Ovis aries: one gene and its partner. Each later gene encodes a partner of the first gene's protein in a complex. Links are inferred from orthologs where the notes say so. Each region holds a gene or a part of one and is shown on either strand. Other genes may lie near its edges.

Region 1 (3,746 bases):
CCCGAGGGTGTCAAATGAATATCAAGTGTGTTTATTACAAAATCCTATAGAATGAAATCAATTTTAAAAAGCCATACAGGGACTTCCCTGGTTGCCTTCCAATGAGGGGGCCGTGGGTTCCATCCCTGGTAGGGGAACTAAGATCCCACAGGCTGCTGGGCAACTAACCCCTTGCACCACAACTAGAGCAGGAGCCTGCCTGTCACAATTAGGCCTCAGCATAGCCAAAATAAATAAAATAAAAACGTAAAAAAATACCCACACAACCATCTTTTGGCTTTATTCCCAAGTTTTGATTAAAAATTTTATGTATTATCTCATTCAGTCTTCACAACAATCCAATGAAAGTAACCCATTGTGGTAGTTCAATTATTATTCCCATTTCCCAGATGTGAAAACCAAAACACAAGTAACTTGAGTAACCAGCATTAAGTAAAGGACAGCAATAAAATAGTAGAGCACTGGCCATGCGGTCGCTTCAGGCTGCAGGAGTGAGGCAAGGCCAGCGCCACAATTTGGCATGGTCCAATACATTGCAGGCTGTGGACAAGGGCAGTTGTCTTTTTCGCCGCTTTATTTTTATTTTTACCCCTTTACGCTGCTGCTGAATCCCAAATCCTTTTCTAAGAGAGTTTACAGGGATGGGGGTTCGGAGTTCAGAAACCGGACTTTGCTTCAGAATTTGCCATTGCTGGCGGTGCTGTCTCGAGCCAGTCATTTATTTAGTTTCACTGCGTCTCCTGTTTCAGTTGTGTAGGGAGAGAGCTGGAACAATGTTCTCCGAATTTTAGGTGATGGTGAATAGCATTTAAAGTCGCACCATTTTAGCTGCGGCTACTCAACTCCAGGAGTTGGTGATGGACAGGGAGGCCTGGCGTGCTGCAGTCCATGGGGTCGCGCAGAGTCGGATACGGCTGAGGGACTGAACTGAACTGACTCAACTCCTAATTACGTCCCGCCCCCAATCGTCCTTCCGTTGTCATGGAGATCGGGACGCCCAAGTTGGTAGATTTCCCTCCCGCGATACCTGGGCGGAGCACGGGATGACGCATGCGCGTTCTTGGCGGCCGAGGCGCCGCGGTGCCTACCGGGACTGAGCTCCCGGCCACCCGATCAGGAAGTGGCGGGCGGAGCCGGGGGAAGAGTCGCCGCCTCAGCCGCCGCTTCAGCAGCAGCCGCCAGTGCGAAGACCCCCGAGCTGGCGGGGCAGCGCTGGGCATGCGTGCCGGGCGGCGGAGGCGCTGACAACGAGCCCGAAGCGGCAGCCACGCGGGCGTGGGCGGCTGGTCCAGGCGGAGGCTCTGGGAGGCGGCGGCGGGGCGCGTGGGGCGGCCCTCCTGGCTCAGGTAGGAGCTGCGGACGCCGGGTTTGGGGCGCGGAGCCCCAGCCTGTTGTTCTTCGGGGCCTCCTCCCATTCCCGGGGGCACGCGGCCTCCCATCCCGCGGGAAGCTGGGGCTGCGGTTCCCTGCCCGAAACGCTTAACCCGGTTACAGCCTCTCGGGAGCATTGTTTCTGAGGCCGGAGGTTCAGTGAGCAAAGTTTTGGGTTGGAAAGAGGGGAAATTCGAATTGGAGCGCTGGTCGTGCCTTTCCTGAGCCCCCAAACTTACATTAGCTGTAGCCGCACGGACCAGGTGTGTGGAGTTTGAGGAACCGCGGCGCCCAGCCAAGTAAAGGCTGTGATTTAGGCGCTCCTTCACGGATTTTTTTTTTTTTTTCCAGCTTCCTCTTGGAAACCTAGTTTGGAATGATTCCTAACCTTGAGTTATAATAGTTTTCTGCAGAGTCTAAAGACATTTTCCAAAACAAGTCGCTGCGGTACTTTTTTCACTTCCACTTCTACATTGCTGTCTTTTCAGGGTTAAGCAGTCTCTTATTCTCAGCTTGCCGGCTATTCAAAGCACTATTGGCCCCTGCGAGGCTCAGGCAGGCAAATGAAGCAAGAGAGAAAGAGTTGAAAGGTTGAAAGAAATCAAATGATAAACTGGATAAATGATAAAGTCAAATGATAATATGGGAGGAATGTGGGCTTTGCAGTTAAAAGATTTTCACTGAACTTTTGGCTTCTCAGTGAGGGAACACGTGAACTCACTGAGTTGTGGCAGTGATGTGTGTTTTAATGTAAAACGGGGAAGTTGATGTGTCCTGTTTACTACACAGGACATATGAAACTCTACAGATGCGGAGTAGTCTCATGAGAAAAAGGTGGAAAAGTTAGAGCATGTGATGGTGAAAGACATTAAACCTTCTGTTCTAGGGACCATTGAACTTCACCCATACCACGCAGGTCGCTTTTGTTTTGGAGGCTTTTACCAGTTTTAGGTCTGGAATAAGGAGCACCTGGTTTAGGAATCAATCTCCTGGCGTCCAGGCTGTGTACTTTCAGCTGTGTGATCTTAACTCTGTGTGATAGGATACATACCTGATACCTCATAGAGTTGTGAGGATCAAATGCTGTTAACATCCAGGTCTTTGTAAGGCTTTTATTATGTTAATAATAAATTACATAATAAACAACATAGATTTTATCTATGTTAAAATCGTGATTATAAAAGCCTGGGTTAATAATCTGTCTTTACAAAGTGAAATCAGCAGATGTTTGTTGTTTTAGGCTTGTTCCCCCCCCCTTCCCCCACCACATCATTGGGGAATTCTCCTTTCTTGTTCTAATACACTTTCCCTCCCCCAAGACTGTCTTCTGCCTTCCTCACCTGAGTATAACACTGGGTTATTTCTTTTCAGATCCAAATAATAGTTCTGAAATAACACGTTGGTCTAGCTTTACTACTTAAAAAATCACTTTCACAAACATGTTCTCATTTTATTCTTACAGTTGGGCTAGATGTAGACAGCATTGGTAGTATCCTCATTTTACTTATGATGAAATTGGATTTAGAGAAGTCTAGTGGATTCCCTAGGTCATATTACTGTTAGGGGTCAGAATTTAGGGAGGTCTTAGATTCGAGGTCCAGGGTCAGTGATTCTTCTTTCCTGAACTAAAGTTTGACAAGTTTATTTCTTATCAGTGCTTTTATAAAATTTTATTGAAGTATAGTTAATTTACAGTGTTTCTAATTTCTGCTGTATAGCAGAGTGGCTTAGTTAAACATATACTCTTTGTCATATTCTTTTCCATTATGGTTTATCACAGGATATTGGACATAGTTCCCTGTATTGTACAGTAGGACCTGTTTATCCATTCTGTATAATAGTTTGCATTGGCTAATCCCAAGCTCCCAACCCTTCTCTTCTCTCCTCCCCATCTTGCTTGACAACCACAAGCTTGTTCTCTACAATTGTGAGTCTGTTTTTGTTTTGTAGATGTGTTCCTTTATGTCATGTTTTAGATTCCACAAGTAATGAAATCATATGCTATTTGTCTCTTTCAGACTTAGTGTGATAATCTCTAGGTCCATCCATATTGTGCATATAGACTATTTCATTCTTTTTCATGACTGAGTGATATTCAGTGCTTACATTTTTAACTTTTAGCGTGCTAAGTCACGTTTTATTTATTCATTGCTTTTTAAGCAAGTTGTTGAGTGCTTTCACATTCTCAAATGTAAGCTGCTTACATGCAGGCAAGGATTTATCTTCCAAAACTTTCCAAAGGCTGCAGTGCGGTACAGTGCCCCGCAAACAGAAGACATTTAATAAAGGCTTGTAAAACTTATTAACAGAGAGGCTAGGGCAATTTAAAGATGTTCTTCTGTTTGTTAGTCATTTACAAAATACTTATTGAGCTA
Region 2 (3,746 bases), on another chromosome or scaffold:
CGGGCCCAATCCCTCAGCGGCGGTCCCCTCTCTTGCTTCACCGGAGGGGCCAACGGCTGACTGGCCAGGAAAGGTCCCTGTGCTCTGCTGGGGGGTGAAAAACAAAGCTAGGGGAGAACTCGGAGGGGGTCGCTAGGCCCAGAAACGGAGGTTGCTTGGAATTAGGACCCTCGGTCTCTCTCATCCCCTTCCTTTCTCCTTCCCTTCTTTGCGGGTCCCCCAGGAGCACCCCCAGGGAGGTGCACTTTGAGCCACCTGGCCTTCGGCTAGTGCGGGGGGTTGGGGTGGAGATGGGGAGGGAACGGGAATGGGTGAGGCCAGAGGGAAGGGAGGTCTAGGTGCCTGGGAGGCGGGCGTGGTGGGGACAGAGGTCGCTTCTCCCTGGCAGGGCCCAAAGAGAAACCGGAGTAGGTGCTGACGTCTAGCAGCCATGGGGGAACACGGCCTGCTGGGGCTTTGTGTTCTGTATGAGGGTCCGGAGGACAGAGCAGAGGGGGTGAGCACTAGTGTATGAGCAGCGTCAGGGAGAGTGTCAGGAGAGGCCAGTGCCCAGGAAACAGGCAGTGTGCAGGAGGAGGCAGCGCCGGGGTGAAGGGGCGCGCGGGAGGTCGCAGGGGGCTCCCGGGTAAGGGAGCAGTGCCCAGGAGGGGGCCGAAGTGAGAGCTGGCACCCTAGAGGAAGGGGCAATGTAAAGAAAGAGGTGGCATCTGTAGGATAGGGTAGTGCCAGGATGAAGAAGCCCGTAGGAGAGCTTGTCTAGAAGGAGAGGACCGTGGTAGCGGAAAGGGAAGAACAGAGCTTAAGGGGCAGGGCTCGAGGAGGGCAGTGGGTTTGGGGTTAATGCCCTGCTGAAGGGGTGGTGTGAGAGAAGAGAGCAGGAAAGGGGACGGTGCAGGCTTTCCTCTTCCCCATGGTGACATCATGGCAAATTCCCAAACTGGAGGGACCCGGCTCAGGTGACATCCAGCTGGGACGAGCCGGCCCGGGCCGGCCTGGGTGCCAGCAGGAAGGGCTGGGTTTTGCGCCCAGTCGGGCCAGCGCCCTGGGGGCGGGGTGCTGCTCCCCTCACTCTCTGTGCGGACTTGCCCTCGGCGGGCACGCAGACCGGCACAGTAAGGCTCGGGCCGGGCTTCTCTGGGCCAAGGATCAAGGTCCCTGGCTGGGGCAGGCCGCTTGAGCATTCCAGTCTTCCAGACCCGGCTTCTGAAGAGGGCGCAGTAGAGCCTCGGGAGAGAGCCGGACGCGACGCCACCTCTGTCGGAGGTGGGACCCATCGTGTCGCCGCCGGGGGCGGGGTTTTCTGGACCCGAAACCAGCCCTCAATTCTGAAACCTCTGGGAAACAATCGTTCGGGGCGGAAGTTAAGAAGCCCCGAGAGCTAGGCAGCGGAAGTGGCTGCGGTACAGTTCTTCTATGCGCATGCGTTATTGTATTCCTTTGCCGCTGCCGTTTCAGCGCTGCGTCGTCTTAGCGCGCCTCTTTTCCTCCACGCGAGGGGGTGCGCTACCCCTAGTCGTCGTGGTCAGCGCGCCCAGTCCCTCTGCTACTCTCGTGGCCCCCTCACCATGGCGGGCATCCTTTTTGAGGATATTTTTGATGTAAAAGACATTGACCCGGAAGGCAAAAAGTTTGACCGAGGTAAGCAAGGTTTGGAGGGGCGGTTTCGGGGGAAGGGGCTAATCTCCTCTGGTACCCGCCCCCAGGCTGCTTGTCCACCCACTTTCGCGTGGCCTTTCCCTACCGGTGGGTCCTGGTGTGGGGACCTCTCTCGAGAAATAATTTTATAGATAAGAAAACGGAGACTCCCGAGCTCTCCCTGGTTTCACACAAGCTGTGCTCGCTGCCTGGGTGGCCTTTTCTGCTGGTGCTGGTGGACTCCAGGCATCTTTTATAATCGCTCCCCGCTCTGGACCGGGCGCTGTACTTAACACTTCGCACGCGCTTTGTCTCACTTATTTTCTTCCAGGAGTAGGCGGTGTCTTACCCATTTTGCTCTGAGAGGCTAAGCAGCCCACCCAAGGTTGTACAGTGAATAATCCGACTTCACAACCCGTTCCTCAGAGTCTTTAGCTGTTTGTAAAATCTTCTCAGAGTTTAAGAGTAGACTGCTTGGTATACACCTCTTTATTCTGTCATTTATCAATAATTGTCCTGGGTGTCTCTTCCTTTGCCTGGACACTGATAAGTTCTTCGGGACAAACACCAGTTCTTACACATCTTGATAATCAATCCCCTTAGCACAGCACCTGACACAGGAAGAGGAAACCTTAGGATGAATGAATACCTTGCCCCAAATCAGGTTATTTCTTAATCACTTAGGTTGGCCTAGAACCTGGATATTATTTATTGCCAGAGGATCTTTGATTCTTTTCTGTGGATTCTGTCCACTGGCCACAGGTTGTCTCCCCTTTCCTTCCTGCATGTGTGATTCTGATTGAGCCTGTACTTCTGTGAGAGCAGATGAGAGGCCAGTGGATACAGACTGCATTAGACTGAGTATTCTGTTGCATCCAGGCCCCTGAAGTACCTGTCTGCCCTGCCCTGTAGGGTCTGCCCTGGGCCACAGGCAGTTAACTTCTGCCACTCTTCCCCTCCAGTGTCTCGGCTGCATTGTGAGAGTGAATCTTTCAAGATGGACCTCATCCTTGATGTAAACATTCAGATTTACCCGGTAGACTTGGGTAAGTATTGAACACAAACAGCAGGAGGCTTTATGCCATCTCAGCTGGTCTCCACCCTCTGCTACCGCTGTTGTTTTCAGGTGACAAGTTCCGGTTGGTCATAGCCAGTACCTTATATGAAGATGGTACTCTGGATGATGGTGAATACAACCCCACAGATGATAGGCCTTCCAGGTGAGGGGATGGAAAAGGGAGCACCTGAAATGTGCCTGAGGACTAAGTGGATAGGTGTATAGAAAAACCCTTACTTAATTCATGAAATAAATGATTATCAGCAGACTCTGTTAGCTTAAGAAAAGTGCAGCACTTAAGAATCCAGACATCCAGGTGTTTATCCAAAGCAGTGATTACAGTGTGAGTTGTCACTTTTTGATAGTGGAGGAAATGAGCACTGAATGACCTAGGCTCTGTGGGCCTTGTGTCTTGGGAGGGAGTTTGGTGTGATGGAAAGGCTTTGGACGCCCACTCAGTTCACATCTCAGCTCTACCACTTATTTGTTGGATAACCTTAACCTCCTTCAACCTTAGTTTTTTCTCATCAATAACATTGATGGTCATACCTAGCTCACAGGGTTGCTGTGAGGATTGAATGACATCACGTTTAGAAAGTGCCTGGTGTTATGATGCTGGCGTATAGTTACCAGTTACCATTTTTTTAAAGGGCCTCTTACTTTTGTTAACTGTATTTAAGAATAACTGCCCCTATTGTTCCACAGGGCTGACCAATTTGAGTATGTCATGTATGGGAAAGTGTACAGGATTGAGGGAGACGAAACTTCTACTGAAGCAGCAACACGCCTGTAAGTTCCTTGGTCTTGTGAGAGCCCTTTCCCTTCTCATTTTGTGAGAATTTGGGCTATGCTTTGAAAATCTGGACCATCCTCAGGCTCCCTGGATTTCTTTCTTCAAGCACCTCAGACCTAGCGGGACCCAGAAAGGAACTGTTTTGGGAACAGTTTCAGTCTGAAATGTAGGCTGGTCAGTTTGCCCTCTGTCAGGATCTTAAGGCCTGTGATCTAAATGAGAAACTGTTAATCTTGCTGAGTGAAATGCCAAGGAAAGTTA

What was found. The genes of interacting proteins can lie anywhere in the genome.
Region 2: GTF2E2 (region 1) and POLR2H share a complex: the UniProt entries of both Homo sapiens proteins name them as parts of the TBP-based Pol II pre-initiation complex. The link is inferred for Ovis aries from reciprocal best matches to the Homo sapiens genes GTF2E2 and POLR2H.

Annotation. Positions count from the first base shown.
Region 1 is NC_056079.1:25,926,811-25,930,556, reverse strand, and holds the start of GTF2E2 (transcription initiation factor IIE subunit beta), read left to right. Parts: upstream 1-1,115; 5' UTR 1,116-1,346; intron 1,347-3,746. UniProt on the Homo sapiens protein: Recruits TFIIH to the initiation complex and stimulates the RNA polymerase II C-terminal domain kinase and DNA-dependent ATPase activities of TFIIH. Both TFIIH and TFIIE are required for promoter clearance by RNA polymerase.
Region 2 is NC_056054.1:203,612,655-203,616,400, reverse strand, and holds the start of POLR2H (DNA-directed RNA polymerases I, II, and III subunit RPABC3), read left to right. Parts: upstream 1-1,431; 5' UTR 1,432-1,565; coding exon 1,566-1,638; intron 1,639-2,597; coding exon 2,598-2,681; intron 2,682-2,761; coding exon 2,762-2,855; intron 2,856-3,397; coding exon 3,398-3,481; intron 3,482-3,746. UniProt on the Homo sapiens protein: DNA-dependent RNA polymerase catalyzes the transcription of DNA into RNA using the four ribonucleoside triphosphates as substrates.